Linked DNA regions of Canis lupus familiaris. The protein of the gene in region 2 binds, or shares a complex with, the protein of the main gene of each other region. Links are inferred from orthologs where the notes say so. Each region holds a gene or a part of one and is shown on either strand. Other genes may lie near its edges.

Region 1 (8,095 bases), on a different chromosome or scaffold from region 2:
GCTCTGTCTCTTGTGCTCTCTCAAGCATGCTCTCTCTGAAATAAATAAATAAAATCTTAAAAAGAAAAGCTATTCCTTTTCTTGGATCGCTCTTGGTAGGGGCAAAGAAACTCTAAAGGAGCCCACGATCTGCAAAGATTTTACCACTCAATCCCTCCTTCCCCGCCCACCTTGTGTCAGGTCCCCTCCAACCTGCATCAGCATTCTCGGGCTGATGCTCAACTGGCCCTCTACTACCGGTCTGTATGAGGGGGATTGGGATTCAGGGTCCTTGTCTGGGGCCCTTGAGGCAAAAACTCTGGGTTGAGCCTTGGGCCCTTTCCAGCCTCATTCCCTGGCATTCCTCCCTATGGACTGACCCCTTCAGGACAGCTGCACAGGGGGAGCAAACAACATTCAGCTCATGCAAATACAACTCCACGTGTGCACCCAGCCAAAGAGCGAGAAAGAGAGCAAGAACAAATTAAATAATGCATGTTGTTCCACTCGATGAACATCTGCCCTCCTCAGGCTGTTGTGGGGATTAAATAAGTGAATATAGACAAAGGACTTCAGACGGTGCCCAGGGCTCTCAGATCTCAAGGGTTCTGAAATGTACGCTGCATCTCTTCCTCGGTGCCCCCAGACCCACTCTGCAGCCTTCTCCACCTCTCTTTACCCTCTCGTCTCCCTGCTAATCTGTGTGTGGCCCAGACACAGGCCCGGGAAGAGTGCACAGGGTGAGGCCAACAAGCCCCTTCCTCACCTGGGTCTGTACTTCTCTGTGCTCCATTCTCCTCATCTGTAAAATGGGTATAAACATACCTCCTCCATAGGATTTCATCCTTCTGTGAGGGATTAATCACTGGGGTTTTTTTATTATTATTTAAATTAATAATCATTAAGTGCTTGACACAGTGCCTGGCAAATAGTAGTTCTCAGTGTTTGTCAAATAAAACTAAGTGGGAATAAATGAATACAGACTCTATGTTCTCAGCAGCTGGCAGACTGTGGGCCCTCCAAAAATGTTGATGGGATGGGATGAATGGATCCAGCCACACTTCCTCTCAGGCCTTCAGAGCATGCATCCTGGGTAGTACTGGGTTTGCTCTTTTCCTGTTTTATTATTCTTCATCTTTTTAAGACACTTGTGTCCTGCTAGCTAGCTGGTGGCACTTGACTCAGTGCTCAGCATGGCTCACCATGCCCTCCTTCTCTGCTTCTCCTATCTCATTTGCTGTTCCTTCCCCATTTCCTCTCCTCGAAAGGTTGGAGTGCCCTGGCTCTGTCCTGGGCCTTCTCTTCATTTGCATCATGTCCCTAAGTGACCTCATTGGTCTCCAGGGTTTGAACGATCACTTATCCTTCAAGGATGCACTGAGGCTCCAGGATAGACTTCTTCCCGCCATCTTCAGACTCCCATAGCTACTGGCTCAATGGTTGACCAGGCATCTCAAAACATTCAAAATGGAACTCTTGGTTTCTGCTATCTCCCCTCTTGTCCCCATCAGCACGCTCCTCCCAAAATGTAGACTCCCTCTCAATGCCTCTCTCCACACCCAGAGCCACCCACCGTCAGAGCCTGTCAGATCTATCTTCTCCTGAATTTTCTGGGTCTCACCACTCCTCATGCTAGTCCAAGCCCTCACCTCCTGTCTCCTATCCCCCTTCTGCTCCCGGCCCCCTCAGTCTCCTCTCTACCAGCACTCAGAACAACCCCTTTTAAACGGAAAGCCATCCCCTCATGGCTGCCTTCCCATCGCTGGAGAACAAAACCCAAAGTCCTGACCGTGGCCTACTGAGCCCCCACCACACTCTATTCAATCCATAATTCCTCTCAGAAACACCATCCCACCTGCTGTTCCTAAAGCCAGCAAGCAGACACTTGCCTCAGGTTATTGTTCCCTCTTCTTGGAATGTTCTTTCAAATACACCCCCAAGGCTCCTTCCTTACTTCTTTCTAGATTCAAGGAGACCTTTCTGACGCATCTGGTTGCTCTCTATCCTCTCATCTCAGTTTATTTTTTTTCATAGCATTTATCACTACTTTGCATTATATGATACTTGCATTGGGTTACTTGTTAACTGTCTGTCTTCCTGACTAAGGAGCCAGGGACTCTGTTTTATTGTTCAATGATTAGAGTACTGCTGGGCATAATATTAGGAGCTCAGTCAACGTTTATGACATGCATGCATGTATGATTAGCAAAACACTGGAAGGCAGAGGCTCTTTCTGACCTCCTCATTTATCCCCTCTTTCTACCCCCAGGTGCCTGGCTGGCCTCGGGCAGGGTAAACCACGGATATCCATAAATGCATGATTGCTAACTAGGCAATAAAGCCCTTTTGGGCAAATGAGTAACCAAATTCCTGAAACCTGCAGGTGCAGTGAGCAGAGGGGCAGCCTCCTTCTTTTGAAAAGCTGGTTCTTTAGGGAAGAGCCTTAGTCTCTGATGCTGCCCTTCCTTCTCCTTGGTATCCTGGCCCAAGGCTGTTGCTGGGAAGGGCATGAAAGTGCTGCCGGATGTCCTGGGGAAACTGCATAAGCCCAGAGGAACAGACTCTCCTCCCCAGCCTGGAGCCTGCTGGCACATCCACCAGGGTGCTCAGCAGGAATCTCCAGGTGGCTGTGGACCAAAGGGTTACTTATAGGTCCTGAGTAGCTGGTCCTTGAATTCCTACTTAGTCCTAATCACCCCCTGAGGTAAGCACTGTGAACCTCATCTCACAGCTGAGGAAACGATAGCCCAGATTAAATGACTTGCCCAAGGTCTCACTGGCAGTGAGTGGCAGGGTTGAGATTGGACCCCGTTCTGCCTAACATCAGATAATAACAACAGCAGACATTCGTTGAGGACTCACTAAACTCCCTACGTGCATGTAGATCTCCTCCAACACTCACAAGGGCTTTATGAGCTAAATATTATTATTATCCTCATTTAACAAATCAAAGAGGCACAGAGAGGTTAATAACTTGCTCGAGGCCACACAGCACATTCCATGACAATATGCCACTTTTCATGCTACCTCCAACAACTAAAGATTTAGGTCATAAGCCATTCCCAAGGGGTAAATGTGCTCTGCAACACCAAAGGAGGGACAGCTAGAGAGCAATGGGCAGGAGCAGTAAATTTCGCCCAGCATGGCTACGTGCCCCCAGCTGTAGCCTCTGCCGCTTTGTCCTCTCTCCCCAGTTCCTAGGTGATCTCCAACCTGGGAGGGGAAGGCTGCTGCTGTCTCGGAAGCAGCAGGGCACAAAGTCCAGCCCAGGGCCTTGCCCAGCCTGGTGTCTGCCCCGCCTGCACACACAGGGACATTAATAGGTAATGACTCCTGTGATGAGGAAGAGCAGAGCAGTGGAAATACAGAGGCCTGAGGCCCGCTGGAGGCTGCAGGGCCTGGAGAAGAAAAACAGAGGCTAACCTCAGGGTGCAGTCAGACACCACGGACCCCAGGGGTAATTCTCCAAAAAGGGGCAAAGACTAGTACCCATAGGGAAAAAACCAATGAGGACCTGATGTTACCTTCTTTCTGCCCAGGGGCAGGAAACTGAAATTCAAGCCTGAGTCTTGGGGGAGGGGACAGAGGTTGGGTTCCTTCAAAGTGGGTTGCCTGAAACCTACACTCACCAAATGTCCTCAGCAGCTGAAATTTCTCTTCTCGTGTCCCTGTGCAACAGGATGCACAGGTGAACCCTGTCTCGTGCTCCGGTTGCTACTTGCCAGTCCCCAAACTCCTGCTGAACTTCCAGCCATCTCTCACTCTTAGAAATCCCCAAGGCCTCTTTTTTTAGGAGACTCATGGCAGTAGAGCTTCCCCTTTTGTACTCCACCAAACCTCGACCCCCACACTCAGCACCCAGCCATAGCGTAGGGTCCCTCTCTCACCTGTGCAGCCAGCAATTCCAGGGCACAGAGGAGGTCTGGCACAGAGTGGGTACTCAAAATACACTTACTAGATGAATGACTGCCCCCTGGCACTTAGCTCCCGTGGCCCACACATTGGCTGGCTACTCTGGCTCCCCTGGGCCTCTCTCTGTGGGGAGAGAAGGGTTAAGCACCCGGACCTTGCCTACCAGAGCTCGGCTTCCTCAGGCCTCAGAAGAGGTTTGGCTTGGTCTAAAGACACTGCCCCTCTGGGCTCTGTGAGGGCCTCAGGGCACACAGTCGTCTCAGGTAGGGCCTGTGGGTAGCTCTAGACACCCCTGGCTTCACCCTTGAGCTCTGAAGCATTCTGAGTCCTGGTGGGGAGGTCCACTGGGGTTACTGCCAGTGGTCCTCTCTCACTTCAGGGCCTCAGTAGCTCCTGCACAGCTCTGGAAACAGTTCTGGAAATGCCCTGGGTGAAATCCAGTAGCTTTCAGTGAGAGCCTCTGAGAATCCTGGACCATCCCTGAGGTCTCCTATTGGGACACACCAGGGGAGCTGTAGCTCTCTGTCTGAAGACTCTGGCTGACTCTCTGTACTTCCTTCTTTCCTCCCACTGCCCCCTGGTCAGCACCAGTTCCTCACCTGCTTCTCAGGCCCTAAGAAATGCCCTGAAATGGGGAGGGGGCTCCCTAAAGTGCTTCTAGCTCGTTTTCTGAGGTCAAAGGACAGAGACAGAGGACCACTTTCCCTTCCGACCAATCCCCACCTCTCAGACACTGTCCCATATCCTCTGCATATGCTCCAACAGCCCTGAGCTTGGGGCACTAGGAGCTGGGATTTGCCCACTACGGGGCATTTCAGAGAAGCTTCCTGTCTCAGGCCAAGCTGGAAGGAATTCCAACACCAGAGAAGCCCCAGCCCTCGGAAGCGCAAGGAGAAAGAATACTTTTTGGAGATCGGTTCACGGGTTCCTACACCTGGAGTCCTCCTGCCCCCTCCCTTATTTTACTGGGGATCCCTGCTGGAAACCAAACCACCCACAGGGGTCCCAGTCCATCCACAGCCCTGAGGCCGGGCTAGAAAAGGGAGGGTAGCGCGGGGCACGTCCATCCCCCCACCGCCCAGCCAGGACTCCGGGGTCCTGAACGCTTTAGGGGCCCCTCGCAGCTCTGACCTTGTGCCGGAATTCTCGAGCCACCTTCCGGTCCATGGCTGGGCCAGGCGGAGCCGCGTCGCCCGCACAACTCGCTCCTTCGGGCGCCCGGAGGCCCCAAGCCGGCAGGAGCCGCAGCGGAGATCCGCGGGCCCGGGAGCGGGGGGGCGGGGCCTGGCGCGGTGGGCGGGGCCTGGCGCGGTGGGCGGGGCCTGGGCGGGGCCTGGGCGGGGCTGCTGGGACGCCCGGGACACCTGTCCTGAAGCTTGTCGCCTCCCACCGACACCCCGAGCGAAGGGTCTGGAGTGCGTGGGTGTGTGTGGTGGTGGCGGCGGCGGTGGCCGGACTCGAGGCCCGGCGCTCCCCTCGGACGGGTCTCCAAACACAAGCAGTTGGGGGACAGGATCTCGGGAAACGTGGGGAGGAGGCTTGGGACTTTTTTGTAGGAGGAGGTCCTGAGACTCTCACAAGGGTGGGTAGGGATAATCCCTGGATCCGCAGATAGCGGGCCATTGGCTCGGCCCCTGAGGCTTTCACCCCCTGCCGGGCATCCCTCTCTCAGCCGACCTACCCTCTATAATGGCCTTCTCCACGGGCTAATTCCCCGGAGGAGGAAATCTTTGATCTGCGAATTCCTTGGGGCCGGGTCTAAAGCGCTCACAGAGGCCTGAATCAGTGGGGTAGCCGTATCCCTCCGGAACTGACTTCCCCTCCCACCTGCCTAGCCCCACCCCACTCCACACACACACACACACACACACACACTCACTGAGACATGGAAGGGCCTGGCAGTGACATCTTGATTTACTGCTGACCTTTACCCAGGGCTCAGATCCCATCTGGTTCATTTGAGTCAATTCATCCAGTTTGTTCAACTCCTAGGTCTAGTGCTGGAGTGTAAAGACAGTGATGAACCAAGTCGGGGACAGACTGAGAGGAAAGAGGGGGTCAAGAAAGGGGCGTATGGGAGAGAGTGGGGATCTTTGATCAGGGGGCTTGTGCCTGGATTTAACCCGGGGGGGGGGGGGTGTTTGCACCATGTCAGGGGGCAGGGGACAGGGAGATGGACAGCAACCCAAAATAGTGAACCACTTACAACTGTAACTTCAGGGACACCTAAAACCCTCCTGTTTTTCATCTTATCTCTAGTATCTGAAGTTTTGCCAACAGACTTATTTTTATTGGGACTAAATTGTCACCTAGTTTAGGATGTAAATCCTTCCTGGAGAAAAACCTTGAAATATTATCCATGTCCTCACCTTAGTATTAACTAGTTAAGTCAGAGATAAAAGGGGAAGACTTGTGGGATTTTCAAAGGTCCAGGAAAGACACTCAAATATGTTCCCCTCCAACTTCCTTTGTTGATGTTCTGCGTCTCTTAACTAAGTCGTGTGGCTGTTATTTCATAGTTGGAATCCAGGCAGAGTGGCAAATGGCCTTTCAAAGGGGATGCAATCCATGGGCCACTTCAATCGTTTTCCATGACCACCACCCTCATAGACTCTCTCCTTCTTTAAATGCTTCCCCTCTTGGTTGTGGGGACTGAGTCAGAGCTTTCCTCTCCTATGAATGTTCCTTTTCAAGCTTCCTCTGCCCTCACCTGTTCTCTAACCAGGGCTTGTTACGTTTCCATCCTTAGCTCCCTCCCCTTCCTCTCATCTATGCCCATGGCTTCAAATACTCTGTGAGGGGCTGTATGCTTTATTTATCACTATATTCCCAGAACACTGTGTGGTAAGAAATAGATGCTCAATAAATTTGTTGAGTGGATGAATGAATGGATGAATGAATGCATCCCAAGTCTATATCCCTGCCTAGGGGTCTCCTGGGACCACCTGCCATCATCACTACCACCATCATCATCATCACCTGCAAGACTTGCATCTGGTTGGTGTTCCAATAACTATTGGCCAAGAGAATGCTGCACAGGTTCCCAAGGCTCCTAATCCCACAGTTCTAGCATTAGCATTAACATTCCTCCTGGACAGGGAGTATATCTTGTTCACAAAATTAAATCGGTGTTTTGTTTTTTCATTTGTTTTTGGTTATTTTTTCATTTTGTTGTTGCTGTTGTTGTTAAAGTCTGGTCTCGAGGGGAGCGGTAATATGGAAGTGTGACGCACTTCTATCATCAGTCAATATTTTCTCAGCTGGGGCCTGAACTAGTGCTGGACATAAAGAGGACTAAGTCACTATCCGTTCCCTAGAGGTGCTCAAAACTGGAGGTAGAGTAGGGACTTGGAGCCCCAGGAAGCTGTAGTAGTGAGTGGTGGGAGCACAGGCCCGGATTCTGCGGGCTTGAGCTTTGGTTCTGCCACTGACAACTGCCCACTGAGTGGCAGGCCCCGGGGCCTCTGTGAAAGGAGAGTGGAAGACCAGACTTCCACAAGCATCGTGGGTGTCCAACGGAAGGGCCTTCAGAGACCCAGGTTTCTAAGATGGGGATCTTTGAGGAGTAAGGGATGCTGCGGGGTGCACTGGCTACCTCCTTGCTCCCCCGGGGTACTTGGAGCCCACTGATCTGAATGCGGCCCCCTCTGGGGAGGGGCAGCCACAGGCGGAGCCGGGCAGCTGGGCATCCAGTCGCTCCAGCTCGGGGAGGAGCCAAGCGCCTGGGAGGCGGGGCGGAGGCCCGGGGCCAGAGAGCGAGCCGAGGCGCCGAGCGGAGGGTGACCCGGCCTTTGCAGGCGAGGGACTCGGCCGGCCGGCCGTGCGCTCCCGCTTCGCAGCTTCCGCGCGCCCCATGGGGTCCCCGGGCCTGGGCGCGCCCTCGCCGGCGCTCTGCCTGCTGCTGGCCTGCGTCTGGCTGCCCCGGGGTGAGCCGGCGGCCGGTCCCTGCGGGTGCCATCTCTCGGTGCCAGGGCAGTGGGCTGGAGGGGGCCGCGGGGTAGGGGGAACGGTGACGGGAGGTTCTAGACAGGGAGGAAAAGGAGGTTTGCGGGGAGGGCAGGGGAGAGGGGAGAGGGAGAGGGGCGCCAAGGAAAAAGAGGCCAGAGACAGCCGGGAGAAGGGAGTCCCAAGCTAGGCAGGATGGAAGGCACCCAGGGTGGCGAGCTGGAGGGAACAGGGGCACAGAGTAGGGGGAGAGTGGGAG
Region 2 (7,995 bases):
AGAGTGCCTGACCTGAGGAAGGTACTCAGTGTGTCCAGTCCGCCTGCAGTGTCCCCTTGCATTTTTTTTCCTTTTTTTTTTTTTTTCCTTTTTTTTTTTCTTTCCTCAGTTTGGGAAACCTACAGCCAATAGCATTTTTGGAGCAGATGATCTTCCTTCTGACACATCAGATCGTCAGAAGGTTGGGAGCAGCCTAGCTACATCTAATGGCCATGTCACCTACTTCACTTTGTCTCATCACATAGACATTTTATCATCTCACATCATCACAAGAAGTAGGATGAGTACAGGACAATTGCATATTTTCAGAGAGAGAGAGAGAGACTGCATTCACGTCGACTGTGATCACAGTATATGGTTATAATTGTTCTATTTTATTGTTATTGTTCATCTTTTTCTGTGCCTAATTTAATTTTTTTAGGATTTTATTTATTTTTTCACAAGAGACACAGAAAGAGAGAGGCAGAGACACAGGCAGAGGGAGAAGCAGGCTCCCTGCAGGGAGCCCGACATGGGACTGGATCCCGGGACTCCAGGATCACACCCTGGGCTGAAGGTGGTGCTAAACCGCTGAGCCACCAGGTCTGCCCTGTGCCTAATTTATAAAGTAAACTTTATCATGAGTAGGTATGTATAGGAAAAAAACAGTATACACAGGGTTCAGTACCATCTGTGATTTCAAACCTCCGTGGGGGGTCTTGGAACGTTTCTCCCACAGATAAGGGCAGGAACGACCCACTGTATTGGCTCTAAATATCATTCATGAAGTTCTGTCTGAAACGCTCCTATTCCTCACTACCATTCAAAGGTAAAGAGAAGGGGTGTAAAGGGTGGAGGCGCAGAGGGTGAGCAGCTTGCCTAGGGCTGCAGAAGGGGGTTTTGAACCCAGTGCGTCTGCTTCTTCGGTGGCCACCAGTCCACAGGGCACCACCCTCTAAAAAAGCATTGTAACAAAAGTACACCTCTACAGTGTCCATGATGTGGATGGCGCCCCCTAGGCCTGTGCAGTGCACAGCCTTCATCATCCCACACAGCAGCCCTGTGTCCCACTGGGTTGGGATGTGCAGCTTTCCTACAAGGATCAGAGTGAGACCTCAGGGAAAATGGAGAAACAGAAGCAGAATTAGAACTTGTCAGTTTGTTCAGCTGTCCTCGGGGTGAAGTAGGCCAGGAAGAAGGAAGAAAGCAAAATTGCATTTACTGAGCTAGTGGGTCCTTTTACGCCAACAAACTAAACAAACACCTACAACGGTCCCTAGAGGGGTGACTATGAGCCCTCTTGCAGGTGAAGACATTGAGGCTCAGAGAAGTCAAGTCACATGTGAGGCAGAAGGGAAGCTGGATTTGACTCAGAGCTGTGCTCTTAGCCACCCCAGTGACTTAGGGAGCAGCTGGCCACATGCATTGAGACAGAAATGCTGTGCTGGGAAATCACCATCGGAAAATACATCTAGTTAAGGGGGAGATGGCTTTGTTCTTGAAGATGTCCGTTGAACCATTATTTAGAAAAGTGGAAGCCAAAAGCAGACATCTGTGGGCTGCCCTGGGAAGGTCTGGAAAAGCCAAGGGCACCCCCAGCAAACATCACTGATTGGGGAGGAAGCAGCAGGTAGAGGTGGTTCTGTGCTGTGACAACAGTGGCAGTCTCTGTAGGTGTGGGTGGCCAGGGCTAGAGAGGGAAGGCAAGAACAGAAAACAGTGAGCGTCTGAGGGCAGGACCAGGCCTAAGCCCTGGCAGTTGCCTGGAGCTCAGCATCGTCTGAGCACAGAGCAAATGTCCTGGGGTCAGCTGAACTCAGGAGGGATAGGAGAAAAGAGGGGACAAGGGAAAACTTGGGCCACAGGGCCTTGTAGAAACAGTGGTATTGGTGCCAATAGGATAAATCCAAGAGATGAGGAGTCAAGCTAGGCCAGACAGGGACACTGATAGGGACTCAGCCACCCTTCTGGAAAGCAGAGTCTGAGATGGCTCTGAGTTGTAGTCAGAGAAGCAGGGAGGAGGTGGGGCTCCCTGAAAGTGTATCACTAACTTCAGAGGTCCCGCTGCAGGTCTGTGAGTCTCAGGTGTGTGCCCTGGGCTAGTTCCAGCCTTGCCAAGGCCCTTGTCTCGTCTGTGAAGTGAGGAGCTGCTGGCAGAGAGTCTGTGCCTTGAGTCAGAGGAAACACTAGCTCTCAGATTGGCTCTAGGGAGGCTGAACTGTGGGGCTCCTGGTGTCCCTGGGCTCAGACCTTCCTCTGCCCACAGGACATCAATGATAACCTGCCCATCTTCAACCAGTCTATCTACTCCTTCTCGGTGAAGGAGAGGGACCCAGGTAAGTCCTTCCTGGGCCAGGCCGGGCACTGGGGCTGGGGCCCAGTGAGGCATCTGAGCCCTCCCTGCGGCTCTTGGGGGTGGTAAGGGGAGAGGAAGCCTCCAGCGGCTGGGCCAGGGGTCTCTGTGAAGTCTGCCCTCGTCCACAGGAAAGCTGGTAGGCGTGGTGAAGGCCTGGGATGCGGATCAGACAGAAGCCAACAACCGTATCAGCTTCAGCCTGACAGGGAGTGGTGCCAACAACTTCCTGCTCCAGGGCTTGGTGCTAGAGTCTGGGGGCGCTGGGGGGTTCCTTCGGCTGCCTGCAGATGTGAGCCTGGACTACGAGACACAGGCCTCCTTCTATCTGACACTGAGTGCCGAGAACCCAGATCCCCATGGGAAAGAGGCCAGCGCACAAGTCCTTGTGGCTGTGGAGGACGTGAATGACGAACCACCCACTCTGGACTCAGCCTCGCTCCAGGGCATCCGTGTAGCTGAGAATGGCTCACAGCACGGCCTGGTGGCTGAGCTGGTTCCCCAGGATGTGGATACCATGGCTCAGCTGGAGGTACAGCTTGTGAATACCATCTGTACCAAGGCCGGGGTCAACGTGGGCAGCCTGTGCTACGGCTGGTTCTCTGTGCTGGCCAATGGCTCTGTGGTCATCAATCAGAGTGAGGCCATTGACTACGAGACCTGTGACCTGGTCACGCTGGTTGTTCGGGCCAATGACCTCACAACGGACCCCCGCTTCCAGGCCTACAGTGACAACGGTGAGGCGGCCTGGCCTGTGGGATTGGGTGGGCTGCAGGATAGGGACCGTGGGCTGGGGCCCCAGTCCTTACCAGCTGTGTCACTGGGAAAGTTGTGACATCTCCTTAAGCTTCTGTCCCCATTTTTCCGGTGGCGTTGGGCAGTAGGCTGGCAGCAAAGGCAAAACAAAAACACACATGTAAAGTGTTTAGTGAGGTGCCTGGCACAGAGTCAGTGCTTCACTGATGCTACTGTCTTGTGAGGGAGGGTAAAGAGGAAAGTACACTTCACAGTGCTCACATCCCACCTCGGATTGTGATGGCTAGAATAACCACATTAACAGCGAGCCTATTTTGAGAATTTCCTATAGCCGAGAGCTATGCCAGACACCTTAAAAGCATTCTTTATGTTACTCCCACGCAATCGGTGGGGTAGATGATCCCTATCCAATATTATAAATGAGGAAACTGAGGCACACAGTGGCCAGCTCAATAACCTAGCTTACATGCTAGCAATGTCAGTATCATGCTGTGGTCAGGTGGGATATGCCCCAGCCAGGCTCTGCCTGGCCTGATGCTCTTACTGGATGATCTTGGAATAGGTGCTTACCCTCTCTGAGGTATGGGGAGGATATTCCCTGCCACAAAGTCCAGTGGAAACTGAGCGGGCACCCCAGGCCAGGAGCAGGGCTGGGGACAGTGCATGGGAGACGTTGGGAGGGAGGCAGGGGGGAGCATGGCAAGTCCCCAGGCTTTTTGGTTGGGCCTAGAGGCCAGAACCAGCCAAACTTGTTTTCTAGGAAGCCTCGCTATCACCATTGAGGACACGAATGACAATGCCCCCTATTTTCTGCCTGACAATAAGACTTTTGGTAAGTGGGCCAGGCTTTCCCTCCATACTCTGCCAGGATTTCCTTGGGCAGCTCCCATAGACCCTCCTCAGGCCCCAAGTGGACTATTAGAAAGGAAGGCCTCTTTTTCGCTTCTCAGCCTTTTGGCTAAGATCAAGTGTAGAAAGGAAGACCTCTAATCTCGCCTCTCCCCCAGGGTTTCAACAGGAGAGACCTGATTTTTTTTTTTTAAAGATTTTATTTATTTATTCGTGAAAAACACAGAGAGAGAGAAAGGGAGGCAGAGACACAGGCAGAGGGAGAAGCAGAGGGAGAAGCAGGCTCTGTGCAGGGAGCCCGATGTGGGACTCGATCCCGGGACTCCAGGATCATGCCCTGAGCCAAAGGCAGGCGCCAAACCGCTGCGCCACCCAGGGATCCCCGAGACCTGATTTTTCACCACAGTTCGGCCCCAACTCTGAGCCAGCTTCTCCCTCTCTGGGCCTCAGTTTCCCCGTCTGCACAGTAGGAGTGGCTGAGCTGCTAACTGATGGCTCAGAGGCTGTTATAATGGGGGATTTTGATGGTAGAGGGGCTGCGGGAAGATATGGGGAGACTGCGTCCTGAGCTGGGCTTGTGATCAGTTCTCAGCCAGGTGGGCACTGGCACTAACCCCACTGACTCCACTGATCCCACTGACCCCTTCTTGTCCACACTTGTAGTTATCATCCCAGAACTTGTGGTGCCCAACCAGCAGGTGGCTTCTGTCCAGGTAAGCCCATCATATTAGTCCCAGGAGACACAGGACCAAGGCTTTCAGGCCTTTCACTGTCCCTCCAAATGTTTTAACACTACAAAGGAAATTTATTGGCTCCAACCTATGAAAAGAAAGCCCCAGAATGGAGACAAACACTTGCCTAATTGATAGGGTTAAACTTCATTAATTGTTACTTGGTTGTCATAAAAATTTCATGACTATAAAAACTATTTGCAGGCTAGATTTTTTTTTCGCTACACCACAATTCCAAGTCATACAGACAAATCATAACAATTGTAAATTAAATGAGTTCCTTGCTGATAAATAATTTCCAGAGTAAAACTATAAAAATACTTTTAGTGTTCTATGGTGTCAGACGTGGGTGTGTTTGTTAGAGGGCCCTGGCCGCACCACAGGGGCGGGCAAGGCCTCCCACACAGCCCAGGTGCCCGGGCCTGGTGGGGCCTCTTACTGACCTGGGAGCTGCCTGCCTTTCTGGGGCTCAGTTTGCCTCCGGGAAGAAGCTGTCAGTGAGCCAGGGGGCAGTGATATTGGAAGGTGAAGAGGTCGGGTGGCATGTGTGTGCCCCTCCCTGTGTTGTGGGAAGAGCACAGGTACTGAAGATGGATGGACTGGCCTTCCTCCACTTCTAGCTAAGTCTTCAGCAGGATGGGGTCTCCCTCCGAGCCCCAGTTTCCTCTCATCACATGGGTAGAGTAATTCTCTCTCCAGGTTCTTTCAAGCCTTGAAGAGTCTTCCAATCTTCAGCGAATTACATTTTAATGTCATGAGTCTGGCCATAGCTTGGAGCCATTTTCTTTACATGGACTCATTCTTGAAACTTAAACAACAGCTTTGGCCTCATTCTGAACAGTAGACTCACGGGTCTGTATCTTGGCTATATTTTTCCCTAAAAGGCACTAGAATGTGTAAGAATGTTTGTGCCCTCTCCTCTAATCATTTCATGGTCCCCTAGGGGAATTTGTACTCATTGTCAGTAAACACTGAAATGAGGGATTTAGGGGAAGGCCAGGCACACAGTAGGTGCTCAGGAAATTTGAATGTCCCTAAGTGTGTACATGTGTGTGCCTGTGTGTGTGTGTGTGTGTGTGTGTGTGTGTTGGCAGTGGGTGGGGGGAAGCAAGGCAGGATTTCCACATCAGATGGACTTTGGACCGTGACCCGTTGAGTTAGGGGCCCAAAGGCAGAGACTTGTTCAAATCTGGATTTGCAGAGCAAGCACGCCGTTTAAGGTGTTTGCTAAGTTGAGGTGGCCTAGAAGAGGCTGATAGAGATACTGGGACCAGACTCCTGGGCCCTCTCAGCTGCTGATTCCTGCTGGGGAAGAAAGGGGGCCTGGCCTGACCCCTAGGTATTGTCTATTCTTTCCCCCAGGCCAGAGACAATGACTCAGGGAACAACGGGGCCATTCTGTTCTCCATCCTCCAAGTGGATTTCATCGCTAAGGATGGGGCCATGATCCCTTTCCAGGGCTTCTTCCGGGTCTCTACCTCCTCAGAAGCCAACTTGTTCATTGGCAACATTGAGTAACTGTGGGGAGCCCCTGGATGGGGGGCAGTAAGGGGGCCTCAAGACAGTTCCCACCCTGGGAGGTATATAAGTAGGTTCCAGAGGACTCCAGCTTGAGTTCCAAGACTCAGTTGTGCTCTTCTACCTTCAATAGGCTGGTGACCAACCTTGATTCCACTCTCCAAGGCACCTACCAAGTGACAGTCCAGGCCCAGGACAGACCTTCAGTGGGTCCTGCTCAGGAAGCCAAAATCTCCCTGAATGTGAGTGTTGGGCCCTGCCTCTAGACCCCAATACTCTCTGCCAGCTCCTGCATCCTCTGTGTCTCATCTTCCCCATGTCTTCCTCCTGTAGCTCTTCACTGTGGACCAAAGTTACCGTGTGAGGTTGCAGTTTTCCATGAACAAGGAGGAGGTGGGCGCCAACATGGAGGAGATTACTGCGTAGGTTTGGGGCGCCCAGAGGGGGCTGTGGGGAAGAACAGGGCCTGGGAGTATGGACGGGATGTATGTGAAAACTGTCCTTGACCTACATTTGATTTTGTCCCTGTCTTTGGTCTGTACCTATACCTGCATTTCCTCTCTCAATTTCCTAGGAGCCTAGGGTTGGCTGGGCAGAGAGAGGCCTAAATAGGGCTGCGATGTATAGTTGGGAAGGCTGTGCACTGCACAAGGGCACTCTGCTTGCTAAGTCGTAAACCCAACCCCAGAGGAAGGGGCTGCCTTGTCTAATTTGCACAGAGGTGCTACCTGAATAGCCAATGAAGCTGTCCAGAGGAGGTGCCCCTTTTTAATTCACACAATTCCTAATTCCACTGGTAGAGTCCTGGCCATAGGCCTAGACTAAGGCCCCTACCCCATGCTTCTGTGACATCTTCCCCCTTTGCAGGGCTCTTGTTCAGGCCACCAGGACTACTGTCTACGTTGTGAGCATTCAGGACATAGAATCCACAGTTCGGTGAGTGTCCACAGGCCCAGTGGTTGGAGTGAGGACAAGAAGCAGAAACATGAGGGGCCTCCTGGGTGGTTCTGGACTGTTTACCCTTTACCCCTGCCCCATTCCAGAGCCCGGGGACGCTCTTACCTTGATGCCTATTTTGTCTTCTCAAATGGGTCAGCCCTGACACTTGATGAGCTGAGTGTGTGAGTGGGGCTCCCCTTGGGGTGGGCAGGAAGCTTAGGGAATGCCAATGTCCCTCGGGTCTGAGTGAGGTTCTATGGCCAGGATGATCCGGAATGACCAGGACTCACTGACGCAGCTGCTGCAGCTGGGGCTGGTGGTGCTGGTGAGTGTCAGCATGGCGGAGCTAATGCGGGAGTGGGGGGTGGGGAATGCTCACACCCAACCTCCTTCATACTTCTCCAGGGCTCCCAGGAGAGCCAGGAGTCGGACCTGCCAAAGCTGCTCACCAACGTTATCATAGGATTGGGAGTGGCTTTGCTGCTGATCATCGTGATTATGACCACGGCGCTCATGTGTACCCGGAAGAGGTACTGCTCCCATCTCCCCCTGTATCTCCAACTCCGCCTTTCCCACCATCTAAGACATCTGGCAGGTAGAGAAAGCTTGGGTTTAGGCACCTGGTATATCTGAATTTAATCCCCAGAGACCTGTGGTGACCACTTGAATAGGTCATCTCCCCTCCCTGAGCCTCAAGTTCCTTTGCAGAATGAATGTAACACTAGATTCCTCAAGGCACACAAGGAAGCAGTGTGCATCCTGCCACCAGAAAGATATCTGGCACATACTGTGCATTTCATAAATACTGTCTTTTCCCCTTTCCAATATGTTTGGAGTCAGCAGCCACATCTGGATTTGACTCCAGGCCTT

What was found.
Region 1: CDHR2 (region 2) and USH1C share a complex: the UniProt entries of both Homo sapiens proteins name them as parts of the IMAC/intermicrovillar adhesion complex. The link is inferred for Canis lupus familiaris from reciprocal best matches to the Homo sapiens genes CDHR2 and USH1C.

What each region holds. Positions count from the first base shown.
Region 1 is NC_049242.1:40,759,460-40,767,554, forward strand, and holds the start of USH1C (harmonin), read right to left. Parts: upstream 5,176-8,095; 5' UTR 5,059-5,175; coding exon 5,023-5,058; intron 1-5,022. UniProt on the Homo sapiens protein: Anchoring/scaffolding protein that is a part of the functional network formed by USH1C, USH1G, CDH23 and MYO7A that mediates mechanotransduction in cochlear hair cells. Required for normal development and maintenance of cochlear hair cell bundles.
Region 2 is NC_049225.1:37,632,316-37,640,310, reverse strand, and holds part of CDHR2 (cadherin-related family member 2), read left to right. Parts: intron 1-2,245; coding exon 2,246-2,315; intron 2,316-2,463; coding exon 2,464-3,069; intron 3,070-3,848; coding exon 3,849-3,920; intron 3,921-4,600; coding exon 4,601-4,650; intron 4,651-6,030; coding exon 6,031-6,182; intron 6,183-6,319; coding exon 6,320-6,428; intron 6,429-6,519; coding exon 6,520-6,608; intron 6,609-7,053; coding exon 7,054-7,122; intron 7,123-7,229; coding exon 7,230-7,307; intron 7,308-7,389; coding exon 7,390-7,450; intron 7,451-7,530; coding exon 7,531-7,655; intron 7,656-7,995. UniProt on the Homo sapiens protein: Intermicrovillar adhesion molecule that forms, via its extracellular domain, calcium-dependent heterophilic complexes with CDHR5 on adjacent microvilli. Thereby, controls the packing of microvilli at the apical membrane of epithelial cells.